Medicago truncatula: one gene and its partners. The protein of the gene in region 2 binds, or shares a complex with, the protein of the main gene of each other region. Links are inferred from orthologs where the notes say so. Each region holds a gene or a part of one and is shown on either strand. Other genes may lie near its edges.

The links.
Region 1: retinoblastoma-related protein (region 2) and transcription factor E2FC share a complex: the UniProt entries of both Arabidopsis thaliana proteins name them as parts of the DREAM-like complex. The link is inferred for Medicago truncatula from reciprocal best matches to the Arabidopsis thaliana genes RBR1 and ATE2F2.
Region 3: retinoblastoma-related protein (region 2) and transcription factor MYB3R-1 share a complex: the UniProt entries of both Arabidopsis thaliana proteins name them as parts of the DREAM-like complex. The link is inferred for Medicago truncatula from reciprocal best matches to the Arabidopsis thaliana genes RBR1 and MYB3R-4.
Region 4: retinoblastoma-related protein (region 2) and transcription factor E2FB share a complex: the UniProt entries of both Arabidopsis thaliana proteins name them as parts of the DREAM-like complex. The link is inferred for Medicago truncatula from reciprocal best matches to the Arabidopsis thaliana genes RBR1 and E2F1.

Annotation. Positions count from the first base shown.
Region 1 is NC_053044.1:56,504,500-56,511,678, reverse strand, and holds the start of transcription factor E2FC, read left to right. Parts: upstream 1-4,179; 5' UTR 4,180-4,550; coding exon 4,551-4,637; intron 4,638-5,279; coding exon 5,280-5,469; intron 5,470-5,570; coding exon 5,571-5,615; intron 5,616-5,705; coding exon 5,706-5,791; intron 5,792-5,937; coding exon 5,938-6,026; intron 6,027-6,126; coding exon 6,127-6,181; intron 6,182-7,047; coding exon 7,048-7,100; intron 7,101-7,179. Other genes in the region: WEB family protein At1g75720, read left to right, coding at 1,085-1,240, 2,189-2,677. UniProt on the Arabidopsis thaliana protein: Involved in transcriptional repression. May act by repressing E2F-regulated genes in mature differentiated cells, but is not an antagonist of E2FA.
Region 2 is NC_053049.1:15,476,670-15,484,679, forward strand, and holds the start of retinoblastoma-related protein, read right to left. Parts: upstream 3,006-8,010; 5' UTR 2,828-3,005; coding exon 2,732-2,827; intron 974-2,731; coding exon 869-973; intron 783-868; coding exon 640-782; intron 559-639; coding exon 462-558; intron 340-461; coding exon 293-339; intron 196-292; coding exon 6-195; intron 1-5. UniProt on the Arabidopsis thaliana protein: Key regulator of entry into cell division. Acts as a transcription repressor of E2F target genes, whose activity is required for progress from the G1 to the S phase of the cell cycle.
Region 3 is NC_053044.1:54,290,902-54,298,729, reverse strand, and holds the start of transcription factor MYB3R-1, read right to left. Parts: upstream 3,008-7,828; 5' UTR 2,806-3,007; exon of another isoform or gene 2,780-2,805; intron 2,443-2,779; 5' UTR 2,340-2,442; coding exon 2,275-2,339; intron 1,514-2,274; coding exon 1,459-1,513; intron 1,121-1,458; coding exon 1,063-1,120; intron 798-1,062; coding exon 703-797; intron 563-702; coding exon 459-562; intron 200-458; coding exon 71-199; intron 1-70. Other genes in the region: coiled-coil domain-containing protein 25, read right to left, coding at 6,823-6,975. UniProt on the Arabidopsis thaliana protein: Transcription factor that binds 5'-AACGG-3' motifs in gene promoters. Involved in the regulation of cytokinesis, probably via the activation of several G2/M phase-specific genes transcription (e.g. KNOLLE). Required for the maintenance of diploidy.
Region 4 is NC_053045.1:26,839,347-26,846,402, reverse strand, and holds the start of transcription factor E2FB, read right to left. Parts: upstream 3,011-7,056; 5' UTR 2,863-3,010; coding exon 2,683-2,862; intron 573-2,682; coding exon 383-572; intron 193-382; coding exon 133-192; intron 1-132. UniProt on the Arabidopsis thaliana protein: Transcription activator that binds DNA cooperatively with DP proteins through the E2 recognition site, 5'-TTTC[CG]CGC-3' found in the promoter region of a number of genes whose products are involved in cell cycle regulation or in DNA replication.

The DNA of each region.
Region 1 (7,179 bases), on a different chromosome or scaffold from region 2:
TCTTATTCCATCTAGGGGAGATATTCGTTTATTCAGTATCGGACCATCCATATCAGTAATATCAATTCTAATAAGTTATTCAGTAATTCCCTTTGGCTATAACTTTGTTTTATCTGATTTCAATATCGGTGTTTTTTATGGATTGCTATTTTGAGTATTGCTCCCATTGGACTTCTTATGTCAGGATATGGGTCAAATAATAAATATTCCTTTTTGGGTGGTCTACGAGATGCTGCTCAATCGATTAGTTATGAAATACCATTAACTCTATGTGTCTTATCAATATCTCTACGTGTGGATTAATTTATCGAGTCAGGTAGGACTGCAATAAATGACAAAATTCACTCGTGATCTCTAGCTAAGTTGTCCCTTACCATCTCATTCAAGTGTTCTTGTGTTATGTAGAACAAATTTAATCAGTAATATAAAATTGTATTTGTGCTCCATTGAAGAAAAAAAAAAAAAAAAAAAAAAAAACAGCCCTCGTATCTAGCTAGCTATATCAAAAAACTCTCAAATTTCACGTTAAAAATAGATAAAGTCTGAAAAAGAATATCGAAAAACTAAAATTAAGGTTTCCATAAAAGTCTCACTAATCAAGAACAAAGGTAGGATAGGTTGCTTGATAACTTGGCAACCATGCAGTGGTGTATATTCAATCTTGGGAGCAAAGGAATAACAGATTCTATACATTGAGTTAGCTTCTCTCTTTGGAAATGCTAGCTTCTCTAAGACAACAAGTCCTATAGTATAAGTTGGGTATGGGTGAAGGGTCCTCTTCAATTCTGTTAAATATAAAACAAAGTTTAGGCAAATTAGGTTAGGTCCAACATAACATAACATAGGAACAATATCCAAGACCAATAGCATATCCACCCACCGCTTTGGCTCTCTTTCTGAGATAGTATAACAGAATTGTTCTAGTGAAGTGGACGCGAAGAAACGAAGCTTCCAATCTTCATACCATATATTATGCCAATTGTCTCCTTTAATATTGTCCATTTCTACTACACATTACTAACTACTACTTATAACCAACCTAATTATCTCATTCTTCTCTCTATCTCTATCTTCTAACACAAAGATGAATAAGAATAAAGAGGGTGTGATGCTGCTCACCAGAAATACAGAGATAGACACAAGGGCGCCATTCAGGTCCGTCAAAGAGGCTGTTACATTATTCGGTGATAAAGTTTTAGCTGGAGAGCTCTATGCAACTGCAACCAAACTCAAACACCAGGTTCTATACACCATCACATCACTCAATTTTATTAGAATATCAAAATGGTTAATTACTTGAATTATTTAAATCACCAATAAGGAATTCTTGGACATTTTAATTGAAGGTCCATCCATCAATAAGATTCTCCTATCCTATGTTTTTTTTTTGAAACAGGGTACAAACTACAAGTGCAGATTGTCATCAATTTGCAGAGTGTGTCATGTGCTTGCTTGTATTTGTGTCTTTTGCTTTCTTCACCGTCTAATTGAATAAAGGAAGTGAAGAAAAAAAAAATTCTGCTTTTAATTTTTACTTTTGTCTGTGCACTATATATAAGTAAATTCATTTGTGCTTTCAATATAGTGTGACAAGAGAAATGCTAGCAACACACATTATTGAAAAGTATATGTTAGAACGTGTGTTGATAACATTTCTCATTTCTCAGTTTAACAATATGATGCGACATGAGTGATAGATATACTCAAATGGGTGTTGCTATATATCTCCCAATAAAATATATAGCGAATGATTCACGAATGTAAATTGCCTTGATAACAAAAAAAAAGAGCTCCCCACTTGCCAACATGGTGCTAGCAAAAATAAAGGGAGTATTGTTTTCAACGTATTGTGAAACTTCGTGAACCCACTTCTCGCTATATAAAGCATTTTCCTACTCAAATTCTCGAATGATAGATATACTCAAATTATTAATCATTTGGTCAGAAAAATTAATTATTGACCCGTAGGTATGTAAAAAGTAAAAACATCAGATTACGGTATAAGATTAGTATCGGCTGAGTTAGCTTAATTTACACACACCAAAATCATTTTGGGCATCTTAGAGATTAATTAGGATTATCTGACGGTCTAATTTCCTCATGATCACTTGTTTATGGTTTAAAATTTACACTTCCACACATGATTAATAATTTATTGTTGTTCGTCTCCATGTCTTCTAATATATAGATTCACAATGGAGCAAATGAAAATGGGGTTGATCAGTCTTCAAGGGTTGAAAACGTTACAGCTGAGCTGGAGGAGACACGAGAAAATCTAGAGAAAGCTAAAGAAGAAAGCATGTTGATGGCACATTGTATGTCATCTCTTCAGGAAGAACTCGAACGCACGAAGCAAGAGCTCGAACAATTGAAGCAACGTGAAACTGAAAAACATCAAGTGGAATCATCAGAAACTGAAGACGTGAAGTTTGTTGAGAATTTAACAACCTTTGAAGTGAAAAGTTCAAGATTTGATGAAGAATTAATGATGGAGTTTCAAAAGAAAAGGTATGTGACGTTCGCGAATCCACCGTCTGTTTCTCATGTGATGTTACCTCAAGGTGTTGAGAAGTTGGAAAGGCACCCTTCTCTTAGGAAGAAGAAGAAGAAGTCATTGATTCCACTTATAGGAGGTATTTTTTCAAGGAAAAAGGGAACTAGCCAAGAAGTTCCATGATGAGTGACGAGTTTGTATGAATTTTAGCGAGTATAAGTATGCTATATGCATCACATTACCAGAATAATTACCTAACCGGGTTTTGTATTCAAGTTTCTTTTCTTTTTGAAACGAGTATATTTTTGTTTTGTTTTCGTGTGTCATATGTATCTAACTGCCTCTAATAATATTGTGTAAAATGTAGTTGAACTTTGTGAGTTGACGACTAGTAGAGTAGCAGAGTATGGATACTTGCATATTGTGGATGTTCCATGCATTGTTTAAAAAACTAGACCGGACCGGGACCGGGCTGGTCGAATTGGTTGAGTCAAAACTCAGGTTTGGTGAACCGGCGGATCAATACATGGACCAGGCTAATAAATATTTTTTAAACATAAACTAGAAACTGCTGCTAGCAGAATCCAACTGGGGAGAAGGAGATCGTAGATGTACCCCTTAACAATACAAATGTTTTGATCGAATAAAATAAACATGGAAAATCAAAATCACTTATGAGTTGAAATCATTTCCATTTTATATTCTCTAATTTCTCTCTGTTAGTACTATTGTTTTGGAAATCTAGATACCTAATATATATTCTACACCTTGACAAAGAAATTAATGAACTAATGAAAATTTAAAGATAGAGAGAAAATGATGTGTTAAATGAAAATGTATGATAATTAAAGACACTTATAATGATAGTAATCTAAAAAGAGACATTAAATGGATCACATATAAACATCACTTATTTATAATTGTTAATGAAAATATCAATTAATAATCAATGACTCAAGTAATAATAAACCAAAAATAGTCCTTAAATAGGTGCCATTAATACACACTTTAATATGTGCATTTAAAAAATAAATAAAAAGAAATTGCAGAGAGTAAGGCATGTAAATTTGAGATAGTGGGATCAACTTTTATCCAAACTTTTTCTTATTTTGATTATAGAACCTGTTAGTTGGTGAAGAGAAAAAAAAACATTGTATAGTTGTCGTGGAACTAATTGCCATTTTTTCCCTTCCAATGTGATCTTTAATAGGTTGATGTCTTTATTTAATAAAAAAACTCCTTATTAGAGATGTTCAATATCATTGGTGATAAAAAAAAGGAGAGGATGGTCACTTTTATTATTTTCTCGCATTTCAATGGATAGATTCAGGTAAAAGGGTGTATATTTTTTTTTATCTCTATCTAGATGGATAAATTTAAACAGAAAGTGATTTTTAAGAATTATAGCGACGAAAAAAGAGATATCTTTCATGAGTTAAGATTCTCATCATTTATTTGCTCTATTACTACTACTATAGTTGTTATATAATTTTTTTTGACTCACTTAATGACACATTTGTATTTATATTTTAAAAATTATAGTAACTGAGAAAAATGAAGAGGATCGTCATGACTCATCATCTATAAAAAAAATATTTGATTTTTTATTTAATTTTTTAATGGATGGTTTGAATTTCAAAGGGAGAAGGAGGCCCAGACCCAGGGAGAGAAGGTAGAAAAATAAATAGGCCCAAAGAGAAGAGAGAGGAACAAAAGGCGGGGTGGCGTGTGTATTCGAACTCATACAAATACAACAATACACCCACCGCTTCCTCCTCTTCTTCTTCTTCTTCTTCATCATCTTCTGTTAGCTTTGGACAATCTCATTCACATCGCATGACTTATCGCTCCCATTGAGAGAAAATATTCATTCAATTTTTTTTATTTTATTTTATCGCGTAATAGGATTTTATTTTCATTTATTCCCCTCAAATTCAATTCAACACTATAGCTTTCCTGCCGCTAAAACCCTTACTCACTCTATTTTAATGAATTAATTAACTACTACTGCTGCCACTACTAGTGTTGTTGGGTAAATTGATTGGGTTCATCATTCATGTCGACTCCAAGCGAGGATCAAATTCCTCATTTTTCTCAATTCAATTTCACTCCTTTTACTTCTTCTTCTTCTTCTATGTTTCCCGTAAGTCTTCTTCTTTTTCCTTCTCCAATTTTTATTTCTTTCTTTCATTTCACAATATCGATCGGATCAGATTATTTAACCAAAAATTTCCGATCATTCATTTATATCTTCATGTTTTTCTCCAAATATTATAAATCAACCGAAGATGTTAAGAGATCTCTTCTTTCATGTGTTTCAATCTAACCCTAGGAATGCACCAATGTTATATTCTCTCCGGGATTAGTCTATGAGGTTCAGCGCTGAATTTAAAGTGGAATTAATATGCCGCTCACTCCTTAGTTGTTAGAAGAACTGTTCTAGGCACACTTCAGAATTGAGATTCAATCCATTCATTAGTTATACAAATTTTAGTGACTCTTTCTTTCTTTTTTTTTTTTTTTTTTTTTTTATGTTATAGGGAGCAACAATGTTACAATTTGTTGCTCTTCATAATACTTATTCAATTTAGCAGTTTTATATTTCAATTCTGTTTTCAGCTCAACTAACTCTTATAATTAACTCTGCTTATGGTTTAATTTAATAAATAAATATCAGAATCTAGAATGAGTATCCAACAAATATTAGTCAACAATGTTACAAATTATATATTTAATTTCTGCTCACACTTTAAATGCTTGCATTCAATTCAACTGTCTATTGCAGTTAAGTCAAAGAAATGAAATCAATAATGTCAACTTGCACACTAGTAGTAACGTTGAAGCGTTTCCGAGTCAGAGCAACACTGTTAATCTTCCTCCACTTCTTCAAACCCAACCCAACCCAAGAGGAAAGCATAATGGTAAATCAAAAGTTTCAAAAAATTCAAAATCTGCCAATCAGATTTCAAATACAGGTAATTTTCTTTTAGAGTATGATAATGTGCGTTGGTTTGTATATCATTATCTGTATTCTCACATTATTTTTATTTTATGTTGGGTGGATTTTTCCTATCAGACTCTCTGAATTCAGCCACAGTCAATCGTTATGACAGTTCCTTAGGTATGTCCACACTCAAGTGATCTTTTATGACTTTTTGTCATTAATTTAGCTCTTTTTATGACGAACAGCTACATCATGTACTGTTTGCAGGATTGCTAACCAAGAAATTTATCAGTTTGATCAATGAGGCTAAGGATGGTACCCTTGATCTAAATAAAACTGCTGAGATCTTAAAGGTATAGAAATTGTCTTTCATTGTATATATGCCCGATGGTTCGTATTAGCAGGTCTGATTTTGAGCTTCACCTCCTAGTGCTTTAATAAGACATGTATAATATAATTTAACATTTTTTAATAATAGTAATTTGACATTTGTCTTCAGGTTCAAAAAAGGAGAATTTATGACATTACAAATGTTCTTGAAGGAATAGGATTGATAGAGAAAACTTCAAAGAACCATATACGGTGGAAGTAAATATCTAATATTTTTATTTGGTATATACTATTGGTTTGATTTTTATCATGTTTATGAAATGAAATGATAATATATGATGATGGGCCTTATTCACAGGGGATGTGATGGACTTGAGCCACGAGAACTGGAGCATCAAGTTAATACTCTAAAGGTTTGTCAATCTTTTTTTACTTGTCAGTTAGTTAATATGTATTCCACATTTCCTGCTTTTACACATCTGGTATGATCGGATGATTAATTAGGATTGTAAACATCTCTACTCAGTTTTTCATAACCATGTTTTTTATATACTATTTAGTTTCCTTCCAAGTCATAGGTTTCAGGAATCTTATTGTCTTCATGGCATCATATTTCTTGTCACCGATTAGACATTGCACCTAGGAATCTCCGGTTTGTATACTATAGATGAAATAGAATCTCTCCAAAGTATTTGTTGGTAGCAGTACAGTTAAGGTTGCTGAGGATGATAACAGTGGTCTAAACAAAATACAAGTTACTAGCAGTAAGGTGCAACTTGAGCTGCTGAAGACATTATTTATTGACGCCGAAAGGAAACTTTTGGGCTGAAGATATATGCATTCTGTAGAACCCTCAAGATTGAAATACTTCTATGTGACTTGTCTCTTTTACATAACAATATATAACATGATGTTTTTAATTTTGTTTGTTGGATGAGGCAGATGCGCAATCTAAATGCTGTTTGATTTGATATCATCGTGTTGGAAAAATTAACATATAATGAATGAATAAATAAAATAGATGAAACTGTTGTCAAATTACTAAAAACTGATAGTAATGAAACATAAGCAATTAGTCTTCTTGGTTCCAATTTTCCCTTTCTTAGGTTCAGGTAATAAAACCTTTAGCCAAACACTCTTTACCCACAAAACCCTAAAATAATAATAATAGTAATGTTAAATGCCAAATATGTGTAGAACATATGATACTATTTAGCAAATTAATGCTCTGCAGTATAGAAATGGTTTGGTCCAATTCTGATAATTTGGTCCATTGCAGGATGAAGTTGATAGCTTATATGCCGAGGAATTCAAACTTGACCAGTGTATAAGGTTCGCTAGGTGCTACTAATATCGTTAGTTTTATTTTGACTTATCTGTTTTATCTTGAAATTTATCATGTCAATTCTCA
Region 2 (8,010 bases):
CTGACCATGATAGAAATTAAACCATTGGTGCAAGTCACCAAGTCTTTAAAACGGCTGAAAGCATGTACACGAAGGGCCAAGAAAAGTAACCATCCAAAACGATGGCACTCAGATACACGGCCCGTAACAGACGACTTATTTTCAACATTTGCATCAGTTGACACGAAGAACTCTTCAAATACACGCTTATAATACCTGGCACAATCAAAGTCGTAAGATGTAAAGCAAACTATAATCAAAGCAAGCAACCTTATACTGCAAAAAAAAACATAAAAAATACTGGGCTACTCACTTGCTAAGAATCTTCAGGTGAATAGTGTTAGCATGCATCTCTTTTGCCTAATATAAACATAGCAACATAAAATATTAGCTAAGTATATAACTGATTTGAAGGATTTAAAAGTATATAATCACAATTAACTTGGCAAAAATACAATCGTGATTCTCAGACTAGTCAATACCTCAAGCTTGTTTTCCCAATCAGAGCCGAATCGATTGCTTAAAATTGGACCAGCTTTGACAACAAACTGAGGAAGTTCTTTAAAAAAATCTGCAATGCTGTTCAATACAAGATAAACATACCAGTTAATAAAAGACCAAACTACAAACTTTGATACTAGATAAAGGTCAGAAAAATACTTAAGCTTTGCTGCTCTCAATATTCGACACAAGGTAAGACCGGTATTCTCAATCTCTTCTTTTTCACTTTCCTCATTTTTCTGAGTCAGCCTCTTGATAGAGTATAAAATAAAAGCAAACCAGTACCGCTCTGCTTCTTCTATCTGAAAATATTTATAAACCTCATGAATTCAAATAAAAACTTCAATGACAAATGGATTTCATACTAGAGAGTTGTGTGCATACGTACCGTTCCATTTCCCATTGATGAAACATTTGCCATGAGAAGATGTTTGGTTTCTCCAAACAGATCCATTGCTTCTTTACAGCTTTTCTCATCCAATGCTAGCTCATTCTGCAACAAAAGAGAGAGTTAAAATATATAAAAATTATCCTGTCACAAAAATATTATATTATCTCGTAGGATTGTTTTCCTATCTTGCAGTGTCTCTCGATATTAGTTTCCCATTTTACTTGGATATTATCATAATTTGTTTCCCTATTTAATTAGGATTTGGAATCTTTGGATAGTATAAATAAGGGTTAGTACTTAATATTTTTGTATCATCAACCACAAGCACATTTTTAAGTCATCTTCACTATCTGTCTAAAAGACTGTCAATTAAACAGAGCCAATCAATGTATAATTTAATGAATAAAAAACCTCAGTTTAAAACTCATTAGATCTGTCTAAACACAAGTAATAACCATACATGTACATTTATCCTATTTGGTGTCTGGCATACACATAGAAAATTGTTGTGCAACAGAGGATACAGCAGAGCATAGCCATAATGAGAAGGTATGGCAAGTAAATGGAGTGAGTTGACCGAAAATAATGCAAGCTTCCAAACACATGTGGCTTAGTGACAGGACTTGGCGAAAAAATGAAGGGCTGGGGTGTGAAGGGATAGCCAACGCTTAATTGGGCAGCATGACTTTCCTTCGTAATCCATCCGTTATTTGAAATAAGCTAAGAGTTTCATGTTTCAAACAACAGATGCAATTAGTAATGCTACTCACAACTATTGATTTGTACCATAAACTCTTTCTGGAACAAATTAATAATGAATAGGTAACCGATGTCAAACTCCCCTCCCAATAACACAAAAGAACCGGAAACGACAGATCAATTAATAATAGTGATCCTAAAAGAAAGACTCCCAACAAATCAATGCAGACCGATTAATCACAAAGTGAAAACGCCCGACCACACAATTTTTCAACCACATTAACCGACAGTACATGACAGATCAATAAATCGGACAAACTTTTCTGAATTTAAACATTCATTTCCGCTAAATTAATGACCTAGGAAGGGTTGCTGATCTGCTAAATTGATGACCTTGGAAGGGTTGGTGATTAATTGCTCCCTAAGTTTTCTCCATCACATACTATCACCAAAACATGTCTGATTAATTTAACCAAGTCAAAAAGGAATAATAAAAAACTCAACTTTATCATACACCAAAATGTAAAAAATGCCTCAAATCACAAAAAAAAAAGGGTTAATTAAGTTTTTAGTCCCTATAAATATTTAAAATTTTGTTTTTAGTCCTTACAAAATAAAATCACACTTTTTAATCCCTAAAAATTTTTCATCAACATTTTTAGTCCTTATAAAATTTTTCATAAGCATTTTTAGTCCCTATAAAATTTTTCCATCAGCATTTTTAGTCCCTAAAATGCTTAAGGAAAATGTCACAGGGACTAAAAAGTGTGATTTTATTTTGTAGGGACTAAAAACAAAACTGTGAATATTTATAGGGACTAAAAACTTAATTAACCCAAAAAAAAAATCTATGCACCTATCTTTCCGTGAAGATCGATCGATTAATCAATAAAACATTTTAACATGCATTTTATCTCTCAATAATAATTCAATTTAGGGTTTACAAACAAAAAGAACAAATTTCATTTCACTTCTTCAAATCACAAACGAACCCTACAAACTAAAAAACTTAAAGATCAAAACTTTATAAACATAATTCACAAACAGTATCAGCTCAAACAAAATAAAAACACAACACCAAAAAAAACATTAATTAAACTAATTTCACATCAAAAAACTGACCCAGAAAACGAAAAATGAAAATTAAAACAAAGCAATCACCTTTGAAAACTCAGCAAAACGAGAAACAGCTTGGTCACCATTTTCGACAACAGAAAGCTTAGTATCTTCCATCTCCGTTTCAGCTGAAGGACTCATGAAAGAACCCTAATTCACACAGATCGAGTGAGTAGAAACCCTAATTCGAGCGAAAATTGGGTGAATTTTGACAAGGAATCGCAATTTAGGTGTGAAATTGAGAAACCCTAGGATGAAGGAAAGGGGGGAATAAGAACAGAGAAATCTCAGAAACTCACGAAAAGAGAATAAACATATTAATTTTATTTAATAATAATGTTTTTTTATTATTAAAAAAAGGTTAAGATTGTGTTTTGGCGCCACATATGTTATGTCCTACAGGTTTTTCCCGCCTAATGTAAGGCTGATGTGGATTAGGGGTATGATAGGGATTTTGTGTTGTTTGACTGGGTTTTTTGTCTCTCTATGTTTTTTACTATGTTTCGTTTTCTTACCTTAGTATATGGTTTTTTCGTTCCCAACAAAAAGTAATTTATAAAGTAGGGTTAAATATGTTTTTGGTCCCTATAAATATGTCAATTTTTCGTTTTAGTCCCTCTAAAATTTTCCTTCAACATTTAATCCCTATAAAATTTTCAATCACTATTTTTGGTCCTTATTTTAAATTTAATTTTTGTATTTTTTAATAAAATTTGGAAGAAATGTGTAAAATATTCTAAAAAAAATTCCTAAAAAAAGTTAGAATTTTTTAACAAAACACAAATTAAATATAAATTTTTAACCGTAAAAAATATAAAAATTCATATTAAATTCACGTTTTGTTAAAAAATTCTCAAATTTTTTTGAAGTGGTTCTTATAATATTTCGAATTTTCCTGGAAAATTTTATTAAATAATATGAATTCTACATATGATTTTACTTTAAAGAGGGACCAAAAGTGAAGATTGAAAATTTTATAGGGACTAAATGTTGAAGGAAAATTTTGGGAGGACTAAAACGAAAAGTTTACATATTTATAGAGACCAAAAACATACTTAACCCTATAAAGTATCTAAAAATGTGAAAAAAAAAAGTATCTAAAAATATGAAAAAATAAATAAATTACACTAACGCTACCTCTCGAACAAGTGGTTGTAGTTTTTCTTGCTGGTTCTCTCTTCTATTTTTTTATTGAGGGTCTAAAATTGTCGTTCTTTATTTCACTCTCTCTTTTAATTTAAATAAATGGTTTTTAGATAAAAATAAAAAATTTATTTTGTCGTCCTAGTGCATCGTTTCTTTCTTTGTTCATCGTTTTTGTGCAGCGTTGGCTAATTTCCCATTTTGGTAAGTTGTTTGTTTGGTTTGACATGACTAGCCAACTTTAATCTATCAATGTTCAATTAAATGATCATCACTTAAACTTAAACGTTGCATATCTGAATGCATGAGTATTTCAGTCACTTTGATTTTGTCACATTAATTGTATTTACTTTGTCATTTTAAAAGTTGTTAGTTTGTTTGCAGATTAATACTTTTCGCTTTTATTAATTTTGAATTTTAATCCATTCTTTTTGTTTTTTTTAAAGGAATTTTAATCCATTCTTATATACTCTACTAATTTGAATAAATGAATATAGTTTATTTTAGTAAAAAAAGAAATGTTAAAAATAAAATATGTGGTTCAACATAATTAAGTGATAATTTTTAGAGAGAAAGTATCTTCTAATTTAATTTCTTGTTTTTGTAACTCCTAGTATTTGATTTCTATCCATGTTTGTTTTTTTAATAAACGGTATTTAATCTATTATGACTTGAATTCATTGATTTATTTATTGCTTATTGATGAGCTACTAATACACTATACTCACTTTTGGCACGGTTTCGTAAAAATCACTTTAAATATAAGTGAGGATTATTCTACTATTACATGAATTGAATAGATTTCCTTAAAAATATGAATTAAATAGATTTGAGAGGTGGGGGCTCTGTTAGCGCAACTATTGTTTCTTACCATGCAAACAATTTGTATAAAGAATGGTTGAAAAAGATATAAATGATGAAATTAAGAGAGAAAGTATTTTTATTGTACCAATTCTCATTTGTGAATGAAAAAATGTGACTGCAACCTATTTATATTGGTTATTTGTTAGTTAAGTAACAAATTCAACTAACTAATTAATTAACCATGTAACTAAAAAGTGTTGACCCATTTTATGATTAGATGGGAGATAATGTGCACGTATGTAAAGAGTTAATTAAGGAAAAAGATAAACGACACAATTAAGTAAATTATACTAGTTCACTTCATAATCTGAAGTTAGTCCAATTCTCTCGCACTTTCGAGAAATTTCATTATAATCCAACATATTATAATAATAAACACTAAGACTACATATAATTTAAAAAATCTTTCAATAATTTTGATTATAATAGCTACAACAATTAATTAATTTCTAATGATCAGCAATTAACTCAAAATATCAATAAGGTCTAACGCTTCCAAACAACGAGCACGAGTAACACTAGAAGAGTGATAGCGAAGTTAACAATAAACACTACTTCATTGTTTCATTTTTTTTTACTTTTTATACCAATTTCAACAATAGAATAAGTCCTCAAAGATACAAAAGTAGAAAAGAAATAAATACACGAAAAAACATTACGACCGAGAATTAGGATTAAACATGTCAAAGGAATGCTTTGTTTGAGAGTTTGGAACAGAGGGAAAATGAGCGCTTTGGGAGTGGGAAATATATAGGAAAATAAAAAATCTTTCATATTTTTTGAAAGAATAATTTTTTAGAGAATGATAAATTAACACTTATGATTAATATACTTATAATTTTAAGAATATTATAACAACATAGATTTAATTTGAAAAATTCATATAATCCCTCCAAAAACCCTCCTCTAGTATAATTTTGAGTTCCTTGGATTGAGGGGTATTTGATATTATGAATAAAAAAATTAACCCCCAAACTCTATCATCCCAATGTCTTTTATTTCTCCTTCCTTTTTTTCAAAACCCTTCCCTCCCCTCCAAACTCCCAAACAAAGTCTAAGTCTTTAACCATAGATAATTTTGCAAGTTTGTAAATTTTTTGAATTGAAAAACAACCAATAAATTTCGAATTTTAATTCATATAGACCGATAATATAAAATATTTTTACACATGCATTCAATCATATTAATTAAAATTAGTAGAGGTATTAAGAATTAGCTTAAAAAATATTACTTGTCTATATGATTAGATACGATTATAACATAGTGCTTCGAAATTAATCTTATTTGTTTAATGATATGAAATTTTTTAATAAATTTAATTTATACATTATTGGTGTAAACAATTTTTACACCTTGAATTGATAATAATTGATAGACCATTGATTACGTTTAGTTTTACTCCTATCTATTTTAAATATTACACACATAATTGGTTGTAATTTGCTGAGGTACACAATTTTTTACACTATTTATGTATGAAGATTATATCAGAAATTTACTCTAATAATTTATAAGATTAATTTTTATGCACTCTTAGTGTGGTTTATCTTACACACGTCTTCAATCAAATTGCACAAAATATCGTTGTTATAGTGGAGGAGGCCTAGGAGGAGGAGAGTCTTTTGGAGTGTGGGGTGTTGTTGCATACTATTATTTTGTAGGATAATGTTCATGAGAGGTGGCGTTGGCTTCTTGACCCTATTGCTGGCTACTCTGTTAGAGGAACTTACCATTACTTCACAAAGGAAACCGATCATCCTGATTGTGGTCTGTTTGACGATGTGTGGCATAGACAGGTTCCGTTAAAAGTCTCTTTGTTTGCTTGGAGACTTCTCTGTGATCGTCTTCCGACTAAAGATAACTTGGTGCGGCGACAAATACTTTAGCTTGACGACAATATGTTTGTGAAGGGGGTGTGGGTCTCTAGAGACTACAAATCACTTGTCCTTTAGCTGCAACACTTTAAGTAGCGTGTGGTTTTTGGTTCTCCGGTGGCTCGACATCTCCTGCATCGCTCCTTTTGAGGCTCGTGATCATCTCCTTCAGTTCGGGCATCTTGCTGGATTACCAAGTTCTTCTCATTCATTCCTTCGGATGATCTGGCTAGCTTGCGTTTGGGTTATCTGAAAGGAGTGTGACAATAGAGTTTTTAATCACAAGTTTTTGGATTCCCACTGCATGGCGGACAAGGTTAAACGGCAATCGTACTTTTGGCTTAAATCCAATATGCAGGCTTTTATTTTCAGCATCCATGAGTGGTTGCAGCACCCTTTATCATGCATGAGTGTTTTGATGTAATGTTATTATTATTATTGTTTTCTTCATTGCGTTGTTCCTTTTTCAGGGACCCATGACCTGACTTTGTAACTGTTTTCGCTGTTTCTCTTTGCACATCTTATGCCAGATAAAACACTTTTGGTAATGTTATTTTCCATTTTGGCTTGTTAAAAAAAAATAAAAAATCATTGGTTATAGATTGATTCCTAATTAAAATATATCCACATGATTTGAGTGTAAACAAGGAATCATTATTTGCAATCATTATTCGGTTGATCCTGATATGTTTCACTAGTAATGCTAAGATACTCTTTAGTCTAAACAAGGAATCTACAATGTGCTAGAGATACATATTTGCAATGGTTAATTTCTACCAATAATTTTAGAAGCTTGTAATTTCCACAACAAGACCATAGTTCAATAATGTTTTTCTGAAGAAGCATAGTTGAATAATGTTAATGCTTGGTAGACCAACTTTGATTTTATCCTTGAGGATGTGCTATTATTCTGATCATTCTATTTCACCAAATGCTTAGCAAAGGACTTTAGGTTTGTGAAAGAACAAAGATTCTCAAAACAAAGATTCTATTTCACCAACACTCAGAGGATTTCACCCTTGAAAGAACAAAGCAATAATCAGAATCAAGATTCTCAGAAACCTACTCGGTTCTGAAGAGCTATAAGTACTGCAATACAAAGATTGATTGAAGTGGTAGGCCTATAATCTTGATATGTGCCCACAGGATGGAAAATGCATCGCAGCTTTGTTGCAACCACCTTTTTATCGTAACAACATTTATTAAACTAATTTTGGTATCCTTAACCATACATCGCACGGGTCGCTATCTAGTGTAATAACCAACCATGCACAAATGAAAAAGTCTAGTGTCTCCCAAAGTACACACCTGAAAATATAGCAAGGTGCTAGCATGTAAAAATGTTGGTGATAGTTAACAAGCAAAGCGCAGTGTGATGCCATTGTGCGCAGCAGCAATATTTGCAGTCGTAATTGCGGATCCAGACCATAATTTAAATCCAT
Region 3 (7,828 bases), on a different chromosome or scaffold from region 2:
CATTGCATGCACTTTTCAACTTCATTCCTTATTTAAATGAAATGCAAAAACCAAATTAACGTGTATTTACCTTCCAGGCAAAAACTTTGATAACTCTGCCCATCTATTCCCATATATCTGATGAGCATGTATTAGAGCCAACTCTTCTTCCTGCGTCCATGCTTCTTTGTTTATAGAAGGATTAAGATGATTATGCCACCTAATAATTTTTCAAAAATTATCATTATCAGCGAGAATGAGAATTGACTACTACAACCCCCCAAGCGTAATTTAATTTATATATGTGTGTGTGCAATACGGAAAAAATACAACAACAACCAAGTCTTATCCCACTAAGTGGCAATAAGAAAATGTAGTCGGAATAAATATTAAATACATTGTACTCTAATTTAATGTTTTTGGACGTAAAGTATGTTAATCATAACATACATTAACTATTAGAAATCCAATAACCATACCTTTCTCGACATTGCTTACCGATACGTCCAGGTAAATGTTGTGCTATAGTAGACCACTTTTTAGGCCCATATTTGTTTACCAAATCAACAATTGTTTCATCTTCCTGTTTGCATTCAGATTGATAGGTAAGTAAATAACAGATCTCCAAACAGAAAATGGATAGAATAGGCTATCATGTCAGAACCAACACAAAATTGCTAAGTATATAATCAACACCGGCAAGAAATGAGAAGTTGATATTACCTCTTTGGACCAAGGACCTTTGATAAGTTCTGGATTTAAGACTTTTTGCCACCTATGCAGGCATTGTACATCAGTTCTATCCTTGAAACACTCCGCTGCAAACACATTGTACAATCATAACAAGTCAAAAAACAATATTGAATAGGTGTAAAGACAACAAAAAAATATAAATTGAGTTTACTACAAATATATAGATTGATTCCCCAACAAACACCAGTTCTTTTTCCCATTTTAAATCTCCTCAGTTAAGCCTGTAAAGGTCCAACTGAAAAAGCTCGTCTAGTTTTATGAAGAATTGGACACAACCAATGCTCCACTATGCAGTTATACGCCAAAAGAAGTATGTCGTGAAAATATTACCTATTTTTTTCCAATTTTTTCCTTGAAAACGCTCAACAGCCTTCCTCAATATATTATCCTGCATACACAGAATTCATGTATTTCACTTGATCATATAATACATTTTTACATAGAAGAATTTCAAAGAAAAATCAAGTACAGCTTCTAAATGCACATGTATACAAAAAAAGTCATTGCATTATTTAGCCATTTATGATCTTCAAAGAAGTCTACACAATAACTATTAACTATAATGATTGAAAGTGAAAAAGTTAACACAATAAGTCTATAGATGCTAAATTTCACATGATACAAAATTTTATTGTGTCTCCCCTAAAACAGACAAATGAAGTTGCAGTGGAGCAATGTTACCAAACTTTAGAAAGATGTAATATGTTAAAAGTATTAAAAATTCACCTCCTCGGGTGTCCATTGTCCTTTAGTGGATCGCCTTGTAGGGCCAGTAGTCCTCCTGCAAATACGTGCGTAATTGTATGAGTAAACTCATTTCACTGCTTATAAATATATAATGACATGTTATAGATTTCATAAAAAAAAAAATTTAAATGTCGAAACGTTTTAAAATCCTCATAAAGTATATGTCTTTTGTCTTTTGCATATAAAATTTTCATAATCTTCAATTTTGTTTGGCAACTGCTCAATCTCATTATAGTAGCTAAGCTACCACCATTGATTGACCAGGTATAGTGACCTTAATGAATAATAATTAAAGTGGATACACCCCATTGAAGTTGAAAAAGTTTAGAGAGTGCCTCATTTTGGCTTTTCTTGTGCAACTTCACACTCAGGTGTTAAGCCAGCAATGTGGCACCGATTGGAAGTGTCGGAGTGTACAGGGGACGGGTGCATCTATTCGACTTTGGTTGAACAAATCAAATCAGCAGAAATGTGACAGAAAAATGTGACAAATGTGATAGGAAAATGTCACAAGTATAATGTTACCACTCTTGCAGACCTCTTTTCAACTAGCTTAAGGAAAAAAGGTGTAGGAAAATTGTAATGACAGATGCGATAAGCTATAATTGGGAAAATAAGGATTCATTTCTTTGTCTTGGTAATAAATCATTTCATAATCAAAAGAAAGCAAATAACAACTCCAAACATAAACATACCAATGAATCTAAAATTTACTTCCAAAAGGGGTATCTGAGATTAAAGCAACAAGTGCATATCAAGCATGTTAGTAAAACAAAAGATGAATTTAAGATTTACCCATGTAATGCTCTAATTTTCTGTACGCCATCTGATAAAGCAGGAATTGTCGACTCACTTCCCATAGTGTACCGGAATTTCGACTTGTCTGCAATTATCTCCACAATTTGTCCTCCAAATCATTCTAATCCCTAATCCACACTTGTAAAATTACCCAAGCAAAAATTCCTGCAAACAAACATATGAATCAATATAAATTGAATTCAAATTTCAAAAATAAATCACATAAGTCGCACAAAGTGGGATCCGCTACATGGATCAAACACATGGCGGCATTACGAATGAAATAGAGAAATTTAAACAGACTGGATCCTTACAAAATCAAACAATTAAAGTAAAAAATTCAAAAAAAGGAAGAAAAAAAATAAGGAATTCAAATTTAAAGCAATTTGAAAACTCGGAATAGAATTTACATTTAAGCATAAATATGAGTTGTAGATTGGAGAATAAACATAAATATAAACATGAAGAAGAAATCGAAATCAAAATGCAAGCGTTCACCAACCATTGTTCAAAAAAAAAAACACCAACCAGATTGAGCTTCAGAAATGAAGATATTCGAGAAAATAGATGAGGAAATTGAAACTGTGTGAAAATGAAAATCCGAATGGATGGATGTTGAAGAAAGATCTAGAATTTGACATCAACATTCAAAGTAGGGAGAAGAATAAGAAGAGGTTTTAGTGAGAGAAAGTGTTAAAGGAAACGGTCTTCTCAATATTCAAACTCAAACATAAAGGGGCGGAAACTATTTTCTCTTTTTCTTTTCTTTTCTTTTTTGATTTTTTTTTTCTTTTTTCCTTTTTTCACAAACAATATTATTGACTTTTTTAAAATGAACGGTCGTGATGAGAAACGTCGGAGTCAAGGTTCACATTTTACCTTGAGTTTTTATTTTTCCAAAAGTGCAACGGTCATATTTTTTATTTTCTTTCTTTCAGATTTCCTCCACATATTTTTCTGAAGTTTGTTTTTTTAGCAGATTTTTTCTGGAGTTTACTAATATTTTTACATTATATCACCTACTTACATTAATGCTTAATGGAAAATACTAACAAATGTTTTTTTGTGGTGTTTTTGCTAACGAATGTTTTAGGATATTTTTTAAGCATTTAAAAACAATAATTTTTATATTAAAAATTGTGTAGTTATAACTTTTACATGTGTTTGACTTGTATTTCTAAGATAAAATGTTTTTTTTTATATGTTTCTTAAACAATGTTCTTAAAACACTGCGTAACTCATTTTTAAAATATAGTATTTTTGTAAGTATCTTTTCATGAAAAACTATAAAGATTAATTTTTATACATTTTTGCCGTAAAACTTTTTTAGATATGCATTAAATCAAAACATTCTAAATACATTGTTTGTTTAATTAATATACATTGTCGGTTTATAAATATTCTACAATGAATTCAACGATGTGTTGTCGCGTAAGTTAATGAATACGTGAACTCGTGTGTTTTCATATTCATTAATTGACGTTGTAAGACATCATTTGATACATGTGTAAAATAATTTTACATTGTTAAATTTGATACATGTGTAAAATATGAAAATTTGATATTTTGAAAATATTCATCGAGACGAATTCAACGATATTTTATATGATATTATTTATCTTTGTATATTAGCAGAAAAATATAGTCAAATTATGTTTGGTCAATAGTGCATATTTTCAAATAGATCATCTATTGAAGGACGGATGAAGTATATAGCAATTAACTCAATGATATTTATAAAAGACGTTTTAAAAACTAACTTAAAAAATGTAGCATCGGATATTTATGTTGCCCTGTGTTTACAAATTAAATCTCTTTTTGTGGCGTCTTTTTTTGTGGTGTTTTACGAATTAAATCTAAAACTAAATATATATTTTTAAGTATCTATGTGTTGTTTGTTTCAAAAAAAAGTATATATGTGTTGTCAAAATAAATTATCTCTGTGATATGAAGTGTCATGCACGTATAAAATTTTACAATTTACTAAACTTCCCTTTTCCCCATTTTATTTTGAGTTCTAACGCAAGAAACAACAAACACGGCCGTATTATCTATTTTTACTCAGGATTAAAACAAGTTACCCAAAAAAACAAGATTATGCTTTAAAGAAAGAAGTTTTTATTTTGAAAGAAGATCAAAACGTCCCATATGTGAAAATTCATTAAATAAATATTAAAATATTTTTTAAGAAAACTGTCGAAGTAAGAGAATCTCAATGACAATAACAATAGCATAATTTTTTTTTTCCTAAAGGTTTAATCGAACATAAAAAATAAAAATAAAAAAGAAACAACAACTTCTTGTCAAAAAAAAAAAAAACAACCACAACAACTTCGAAGGTTCTTTGAAAAAACAACTTTGAAGGATTTTAATTTAATTAAAGGTGCAATATTTAGTTTCTTTAATGCAAATAATAATAACTAGATTAATTTACTAAGATTGTCAATAGATCATTTACCGAAAGAAAACAAAATGCCAATATATATCATGTATGTAAAGTAAAAAGGAAACAAATTTGGCAATTTTCTTTAGGTCAATATAATTATATAAAAACACGGGTTGCAACCATTGAATTAAGTTGGATTTTAAGGGGGAATTAAGAAGAATTTTTGTTTGAATCATTGAGTTAAGATTAATTTATGTTGACAAGATTGAATTAAGATTAATTAAGACTTATGACTCGGATCATTTTATTTTATGTATGATGACTTAAAATTCATTGAAACTCGGCAAATCAGGACGGTTTTTGTTCTTTTCTTCACCGAAATATGTAATTAGAATTGGACTTTTGCTTTGGACAGTTCTGCTCAATTGATCGAATCATCGAGTTTTACTTAAAAACACTTTTGTTCACATCCACATGGGATTTAGTAGGAATCGTGGATCTGCATGTGCAAATTGGGCATACACCCATTTGAATCAATATATGTTTTCTGTTGAGTCTCTTCCTTCAAGGGTTCAAAACAACAAATACATGACTGTTTTGAGGATTACAGCAAAGGATGAATGGGGTAACATGAAGAGTATATCTAATTATAGCATAAGAAAAAACCAGAATAATTTTTTTGAAAGAAGAAAAAACCAGAATATTGTTGCTATTATTAGGATTAGTCACAATGAATCAACCAGCTAATTTATTTTGAATAGATCCTAGGTTTTAGTTTTATAGCAAATGTTGGTAGTTAGTTTGTTAGATCAATATTTTATTCCATGATCGGGTTTGATCCAATACCTCCAAGACTTTTTTTCCTTAACTCAAACTAGTTGAGTTGAGCTGTCCAACCCCCCCGCCTATGGTCATATACTTATATTTATTTGTTCTTATTTCTCATGTTAGCCATGTGTTTGTATCAAAGTCGTTCCCGTCCCGGCTGATGAAACTAGCATCAGCACTGTAAGTGTACTATTAGATGTCAACTTATATAAGACTTTTTAAACTAGCATCTACAATGTACGTCTAATAAAACTTTACTATATGAGGAATGATATTTTGACAACCAATTTTAGACAACTTTGGGTGACAACCTTTTTCCTCCATTCTTATTGGACAATAGCAATAGAGAGAAAGAAAAAGGAAGAGAGAGAATAAAGTATAATGAGAGTATGAGAGAGTTGTCACCGAAGTTGTTAAAAATGATTGTTCAAATATCATTTCTCTCAACTCAACCATAATAACAATAAGAGTAATGATATTTTGACAATCAATTTTCAACAACTTTCAGTGACAACGTTTTTCCTCTTTTTATTGGACAATAACAATAGAGAGAGAAAAAGGAAGAGAGAGAATAAAAATACAATGAGAGTATGAGAGAGAGTGTTGTCACAAAAGTTGTTAAAAATGGATGATCAAATATCATTACTCTAACAATAAACCTGTTCAATTCAGCTCCAAGTGTAGTAAATTGGATCACGTTTGAACTTTGAAGTGAAAACACGTCTCTAATATCTTTATGACTGGCTTATAACCTCTCCAACAAGAGTGGTTTTTTCAGCTTCGTGATGAAATGTGCAAACCAGCAAAATATCATCACTGTTAGGGCATACATACATAACTTACATGTATGCTTATGTGCTACTCTTGCAGCCTCTCACTAAATAATATTCTATTCCTACCATTAGTCTTGTGATAAAAAAATAAACGAGCTTCTCTGCCAGTACCATGAATACTTCAAAATGCCCTGATAATTTATCGCATAGTTAACAATTTCCTAAAAGCAAAAGTTTAAACCTGACAAGCCTAACAAGACTCAAAATTATAGCAAGAAACATCAGTTTTTGACTCGACTGTGAGAAAATAAAATAAAAACCATTGTCACAAGCAAAGTTATAAATCAGGTATATAACCATCACAAGGTATGAAAACCAATCATTGCATTCTCCCCTCCCTATTTTATATTCTCCTTTATCCCTAAATCACAGTTGGGTACACACACCACTTGGTTTCCTTAACCAAGACAATGATGCAGTTTCAGATTCCAGTTGGGTTATTTAATCATGGCAGCAAGTTGACCACCAGTCATTTGTCTATAAGCCAATAACCAATGTTTACATGAAATCCTCCTCCACTTCCTGGAATGATCTGCTTCCTGAAGCAATGTCTTTGTTGGATGTCATATTTTCTGCGACCATCAAACCCTTGTAGCTCCTAAGCTCTGATTGTTTCTCCTTTTCTAGTCTGTCTATTTCCTCACGGCGCTTCTGCACACAGAAACATGTGATTTGATTCTAGCAATTGTTCAAAGAAAAAACAATTGAACTAGATCAAGAAAACACTAAGATGTTACACGACAATGAAGATATTTCATTTTTAGCAGGCAAAGAAAACACCATGAACCTTAGGCCCAATCCTCAAATTCTTAACAAAGTTCACACATATAACATCCTAAAGGACAACAAGATACAAAGTGACACAAAGTACTCAAGTAGTGCCTTAGGACAAAGGAAAAGATAAATTATATAGTAGACAACTATGCCCCAAGGAGAATGCAACATGTCAGTCACAAAGAATGCTTCTGCACACAGAAACATGTGATTTAATTCTAGTAATTGTTCAAGAAAAAAACAATTGAACTAGATCAAGAAGACACTGAAATGTTACGCTACAAAGATATTTCACTGTTAGAAGGCAAAGAAGACACTGAACCTTAGGCTGGATTCTAAAATTCTTAACAAAGTTTACAAACATAACATCCTAAATAACAACAAGATGGAAAGTGACTCAAAGAACTCAAGCAGTGCACCAGGACATAGGGAAAAATAAATTACATTTTAGACAACTGTGCCCTGAAGAGAATGCAACATAGACAGCGGTAAAAATACAAACAATCATTCACCAATTTGTTTCGGAGCACAGCCATTGGTCAAAGATCTAATAGAAGAGTTTGTGCAATATTTTATGAGTTTGACAATGATATGGAACTCATTTGTTTCAAATTTAATCACTTCCTAGGATTTTCTATCTGTTTATTTCAGCATTGGGAAACAACTAGAATAAAAACACCGGATTATAATGACTATTAGTAGCTTTTGAGAAATAATTTGATATTAATGT
Region 4 (7,056 bases), on a different chromosome or scaffold from region 2:
GTTGGTGGAGGTTGTTTGAAAAGGGAGAAACTACAAGTGTTTAATGTGTAACTTAAACTGTAAAGAATTGAATAACAATAAACCACCGATGATCAACAATCAACTAATCAAAACTGAAAAATTAGGCAATACCTAATGAGCTGTCATATCGACATGGACCAGCAGGGGTGAGATTATTTCCTGAAGGAGAACCTGCCAAATTTATATAAAAAGTATAACTTTTTGGTAGCCAAAATCGATAATTAAAGGAATGATGGTGTATGTTAGTTGATAGAAATCTAGTTGTCAACCAAAATATTGGCTACCCTTATTTTCTTTGAATATATTAGGAAAATGATAAATGTAGAATCCTACTTAACAAAGTTTCGAAAAAAATATTCACCAATATTTGAGCCAGGGGTTTGAGTTCCAGATCTGTTGCATTTTGTCATCCTAGAGGATTTTCCTCCTTTCCCCGCCTTTCCAGATACAGGCGTCTGAACAGAACTATTGGCTGCTGCAGTGGACCCAGGAGTCATCCTATCACCTGAATCAGCTTCAAAATCAGCTGCTTCACTCTTCCGCTTCAATTGCTGAAATGTGTGAATATAATAGTAAGTAACAATAAATAGAAAAGATTATGGATTAGTCTAAGCAGGTGCTCGCGGAGATAAGTTGACTTAAAAAAAAAGATTATATAGAGTAAGTTAGAATAGTAAGAATCGTATTTTCATAAATAATCCATTAATCATAAATCAATGTTGTTAATCTCGGATATTGGTGCAGAGCAATCGATTATACAACTGGGATAGTGCTTGCGAGGGGAAGGGAAAGAGGGGTAGAAAAGGTGAGAACAGAGGTATTTTAGTCTTCACTATGTAGAAAAGGGGGTGTCGGTAGAAAAAAAGGGGGTGTGGACCACCATTAGACTAACTTAAAGCCTAATTTCGGAAACCCTAAATTTAAAATGTTCCCTTCCCGATATTAAAAAATTAGATAGCTCCACATTGCAGTTACTTTTCCTCCTTTCTTGTTTCTACTCGCGTCTTTCTTGTACTCCATTGTTCTATATTTTTCTCTGTCGGTGTTCTTACTGAAAAACACCAGCTCATGGCAAGAAACTTCCAATTTGTGGCCAGAGTGAATGGGTTTGTGCAGTAAGACCCTTGCTTCGGCCGCAATAAGCAATTCCACCATGAAACGCAGCCGCAAACACCATACTCGATTTCCGCTGCATTTGCATTTAGCGTGGCAGCCAAGGCCTCCAGCCGTATCACGAAGCCGCAATTCAATGTAATGAGGCATTTTTAATAGCAACCATAAATATATAGCTTCACATCAATTAGAAGAAAGAAATTTACTTATAATATCTACAAATAACAACACAAGCATAACCCAATACTTTTAACTATGTCAATAGATTTTGCAAAGAATAAGAAAAAGGGAAGCGCCCTACTTGCATTTATGAGAAATGGAAAAGTTATGCACAATTTAGTTTTTTACATGAGCATAGTCTAAGGATGTGCAAGATACCCTCAGAATTCCTTAACGAGTAACATAATGATAGAATAACTCAGTTACGGTCAGTTTCCTAAAAACGTATGTATTTGGCAAACGGCAACACTACTAAGTTGACTAAATGGATTCAATTCAAAAAGGAAAAAGCGAAAGACTACAAAAATAAACTTAAAAACTCACGAAATGTGGTTTCTGAAGCAGAGTTATTTTTTTATCCACATAAAAAAATTTCGACCGAGTATGGTAACCCATTTCCTTTATTTGCCAAATTTCTTACAGAAAATCTTTGCACCAAATAGAAACCTCATTTAAAAACAACCAGGCAAAAGTAAGCTCATAAACTAAATGGGGCTTTTCAGGAGCATTTTAAAGCATCCAATAGACAGATTCATTTCCTTGCAATGTGATCCTTTCCACCTAGAATTGACCAATTATTTTCATTGCAACGTGATTCTTACCGCCTAGAATTGACCAAGTTACAATCACATCCTCTCAAGTTCCTCAATACATTGATCAAGTACTAAACCTAAGGACTAAGGGCCTGTTTGGATTGGCTTATTTGAGCTTACCTACTAGCATAAGTTTTGTGAGACTGTTTGAGAGAACTAATAAAGACAGCTTATGGCTTATTTTTTTTCTATCAAAATAAAGTTTATGTGTATGCTTATAAAAACAGCTTATGTAAGCTTATGCAAAAGTGCTTATATGATAAGCACTTGTGCCATAAGCTGCAAATAAACCATTTATCCAAACAGGCTCTAAAGCTCATATAACAGCACATATTAAAAATAAAAAATAAACACACCCACACACTCTTTTTCTATGAAGCACTGTTGCAAACACCTGACACGACACTAACAGGTCGACACCCGTAATTGAATATAACCACATGTGTTAGTGTCGTGTTGGTGTCTCACACACGTGTCAGACACTAGCATAACTTAGTTTGATTCCTCAAGCACGGAAAAAATTCCTTTTTTTAGTAAAACCTAACTAATATTCAACTCTAAGAACTAATTCAGCAACTAATCCCAACAATTTAATAACTAAATAGAAATTAAACCCTAAAATTCAATAGATCCCTAGTTCTTTAAATCACCTTACAAAAACTAAACTAAAAACCATAAAAAAAATCACAAAAAACGTAAAAAAATAATAATAATAATAAAAAAATAGAAAACTCACAGGAGTTTTAACAACAATAGCTTCAGTTTCTAGGTCTTGATTCCGGCGGTGGTCAGGAGCGAAGCGGTGATAATCAGCGGCGGCGAGAAAGGGAGGTTTCATGGAGGAGAAAGGGAGTTGACGTTGCTGCATGATCTGGTCCGGCGCGGCGGTGGCGGGAGGAGTTCGGGTGCCCGACATCCACCTGCCGGCGATGGAAGGAAATGGGAGGGAAAAGGAAGAGAGATCTATGTGTTTGGAAAGTGGGAAAAAGCGGGAGAGAGAAAGGGAAGAGGGAGAGGGAGAAGAAGATGATGATGGAGGGAATTTGGTTCGGATATTGATGTGGAGGGAAGTGCTTATAAATAAATAATGAGTTCCCAATTCAATATCAATTATTACTATTATTATTTTATTACACTATTTTATTTTATTTTTTTGTGTGTAAACCCTTTTGGTTTTAAAAAAAAAAATCTGATAATAAGTTGCTGGAAAGATAAATAAAGTTTTACAAAAAATTATTCAACTTAAAATTAAGTCACAAGGACTAATTTTAGACAAAATGAGCAGGTTTTAATTGTTTAACACAAGGGTTATAATTTTCTAGACGAAATGATAAACATAACCAAAAGACACACTATGATTGTGAGGTTTCATATTGGAATCAGATGAAAATGTTTGATTTAAAAATATTTGTATTGTTAGTTGAGTTAGATTTTATAAATTAAAACCGATATTTTACTTGTGAAAATATTAGTTAGAATTTTCATGATTATATTTAATGTCGGATAGTATTTTAAATATGATTATTTTAAAGGAGAGAATTTACTAGAAACTGAAAATAAATAAAAAATATTATTTTAAGAAAATCAAATGAAAAAAACAAACTTTTTAATTAGATTTTAATTTTAATATTTTAATACAATATTAACGTAAAAATTTATAACGTTTTTTTACAATAAAAAATGTATTATGTTGACTAGTCAAATGTTATTATATGTATAATTTAAATAGATAATGGAAGTCAAATATTTTCTGTTAGTTTTTTTTTTTGGTAGATAGACGAAATGGCAAAGCCATTATAAACTCACACACACAAGTGGAGGTACCGGGGTTCGAAGCCCGGTCATGACATCCGGCCTAACAATTTCGGCATTTTGCCAGTTGAGTTAGGACTTCTTTCTCTTAGTTAATAGTGTGTGTAAACATTTTATGTGAAGTAAATCCTAGTTTTTTTTAAAATTAATTAAATCCTATTTAGGGAAATTTTATTTTCATTTAATAAATATAAAAACTTGGATCGTGTACCAAAAGGAAAAAGACAATGGAAGAAATTTGGCCGTGTTTTTTTAATAAAACTGCCTCTGTTCGGTTAGGAATCAGCGCGAATCACACCCACGTTTTAACGGTAGTCCCGACTTTATATTCCTCCAGTCCCCAGTGCTACATAACATAACCACCATGTACTCAACTTCATTATTTTTATTTTACTTACTTCAGGGTACAATTTTCGATACAAAGATTTATAATTTAGGGGATATTCTCTAATTTGTGGTAAAGAGAGTTTACTTACCGTCAATGTTCCTTTACTGATGATGATACGTAAGTATGTTTGTTAACGTACGTCAAAAACCTGCTCTTATCTTAGAGCAGCTCCAGCGGTTAGTTATTTTGTGAGATTGTCAGCATGTAATTTGAACTTTTCATCACTTTTTTCATTGGAGACCGTGAGAGTGGCGTGACCATTGCTTGCTGAAGCAACGGTTATTAGTAGAGTATAGTGAATAAACCATAATTAGATAATATGTAAACTATGGTTAGTTACTTAGTTAGGTAGTTAAGAGTTAGTTACGAACTAACTCACTCTATAAATATCTCTCACTATTGTACTCTATGGTTATCTTTTTCAATCTAATTCAATATGAATTACAAGGATTATTCTTTTGTTTCTACCTCTCATGCCTACTTCTCCTATGAACTTCATCTTCATCTCTTTGATCCTATAGTTTCCGATATGGTATCAGAGCAATATTGTTGCACATATAGTGATTCTGAAGAGGATTCTGTTGGTGATGAAGAGGATTCGGTTGGTGATGAAGATCTTGAAGCTTCTGCTGCAGAATCTTCGTGTTCCTCCACTTCGCAAGATTGCTTCATTTTCGGTAGTTTTGGTGATTCAGTTTCCACTTCTGTTTCTTCACCGTGGAATGCTTCGTTTCAGCCAGCAGTTGATGGATTCGCCATCAAGATTGGTGAAATTCCTTGCTTTCTCGCTAATTCACGTTGTTGCACTGAGCGCAACTTTGTGTTTGATGCTTCGGAAGAAAACAAGAATTCACATAGTCTTGATTTGTTGTTTCACGCATTTGCTGAATCTACAAAACTGAACAATCGAAAATTTGTTTTCACCGTTTCTGAAGTAGCGATCAGGAACTCGAAGAGTCTCTTCACCGATTTTGTTCTCTCAAGCTCTGTACCTGTTTACGGCGTTAGTTTCTTCTTCGTCGGAGAACAGGAACATGATGTAATCACACTCAACAACAAGCTTCAATGCTTCTAGTTACATGACGAGGCAATTGTGGATTTCAATCCCGGTGGAAATCTTTGCGGTTTGTTGCCCTCTTTTCTATCAATTTCTTTTTCAATTTCATTTTTCAAGTTCACAAGTTTTGGTATTGATTGACTACAGTGGATACCATGGGACAGAGGGAAGAACCGTCTTTCGTTGTTTTCGTGAAAATCAACACAACCGTCGCATACTTGTTTTCCGGCGAACACTTGCAGGTTCGAAGTATTTTGTTTCACGACATTGATGAATTCTGCTATGGTTGAGAGATTCTGGAATGCACAAATGACAATGAGTTCAATAGCGTAATCGTGTTGTATGAACGCGATTTAGAAAAGCTGATTTGAAAAGTGCGTTTTGCAAAAGCCCGTTTGGGACAAGTTTCTTTTGGGCATGCTGTTTTGGCTCAGTTGTGTATTCAATAAGTTGCTTTGGTTCAATTTCATTTTTAATAATAAGCTGTTTTGGAAAAGGGCTTTGGGCATAATCACGTTTCTGGAAAGCTGGTTGTGAATATTGGAAGGAAGAAGAAGAAAAGTGCAGCTCATAATTCTCAGTATGTGTTCAATTGGACTTGGATCAGGATTTCACATTAGGCTTCACTAGCGTCCAGACGGGCATTCCCGTGCCCGTCTGTCCACTCTTTCTACTGCGCTAACGCATGTAACTCATAAATAGTATGTTTTTCAACATCAATGTTGTTTAGTTTTTCTTGATATATCTTGGAGAAAATTATTAGAATTCAAAGAAATATCATACATTCCCCTCAAAAAGAGAAAGTTCTAATGTGATAAAAAAAATATAAGATAGATAATACATGCACTTCTCTAACATGGAGTTATTTACGATTTACTTAGTTTTGTGATGCATACTCATCTATATAAGAAATATGAATATGCATGAAACATGAGTGAAATTTATGGGAGTGGGTTTCACGAAGACAATAAATCTTTCCTACCGCTAACACAATTTATAAAAACCTTTATTGATTACAGTTTAATCTTTTTGCATTTGACTAATATTCACCCATTCTCCATCTCTCCTATTAAAAAAAAGCTCCCTCTTTACCCAATCTACCTCTCTATTATTGCATTTGTCTAATCATTTTTATCCCTACTATTGAGTTTCCGTTTTAGTACACTTTAATCAAAACCACAAAAAGTTTGAAAAAAAAGTCATTTTGTTGGTTTTTTTTATGTCGTGAATTCAGTTTAATCAAAACCACAAAAAGTATGAAAAAAAGTCATTTTGGTGGTTTTTTTTTAGTGTTTGTAATTTAAAAAGGAAAAGTAAGCCCTCCTCTCATGAATCTTCCATCTAAACACACCATTCTAAAAAAAACATTTCTAAAAACCATAATATGTTGAATCACAATCAATATTTCTCACCAACGAACAAATAAATTTTTTGAAAGATTCTTACACACAAAAATAAAGTCTCCCAACAATACCAATGAAAATTCACTATATGTAAGTTTTCCTCAAAGGCAACTGAAAAGTAGAAGAGGAAAAAAAAAAAAAAGCAGAATATATATTTTTAAATCAAGTGTCAAAGTTATAACAATCCTAAATCAATAGCTTGATTAAAGAAACAAACAATAGATACCTAAGAGCACCAAAGAATTGATCTAGAACGGAAATAAGTAAAAACCAAACATATGCAAAAAAATATATGAATTATTTGACACACCAAATTACATTGTTACTTCCTTTTTTATTAATTAAATATGATGCACAATAAGCTCTTACATATATAAAAGGGTTTATCACCTTTGTAATTTATTTATTAAAATGAGAATAAACATTGCTATGAACCAAATATTATTCATT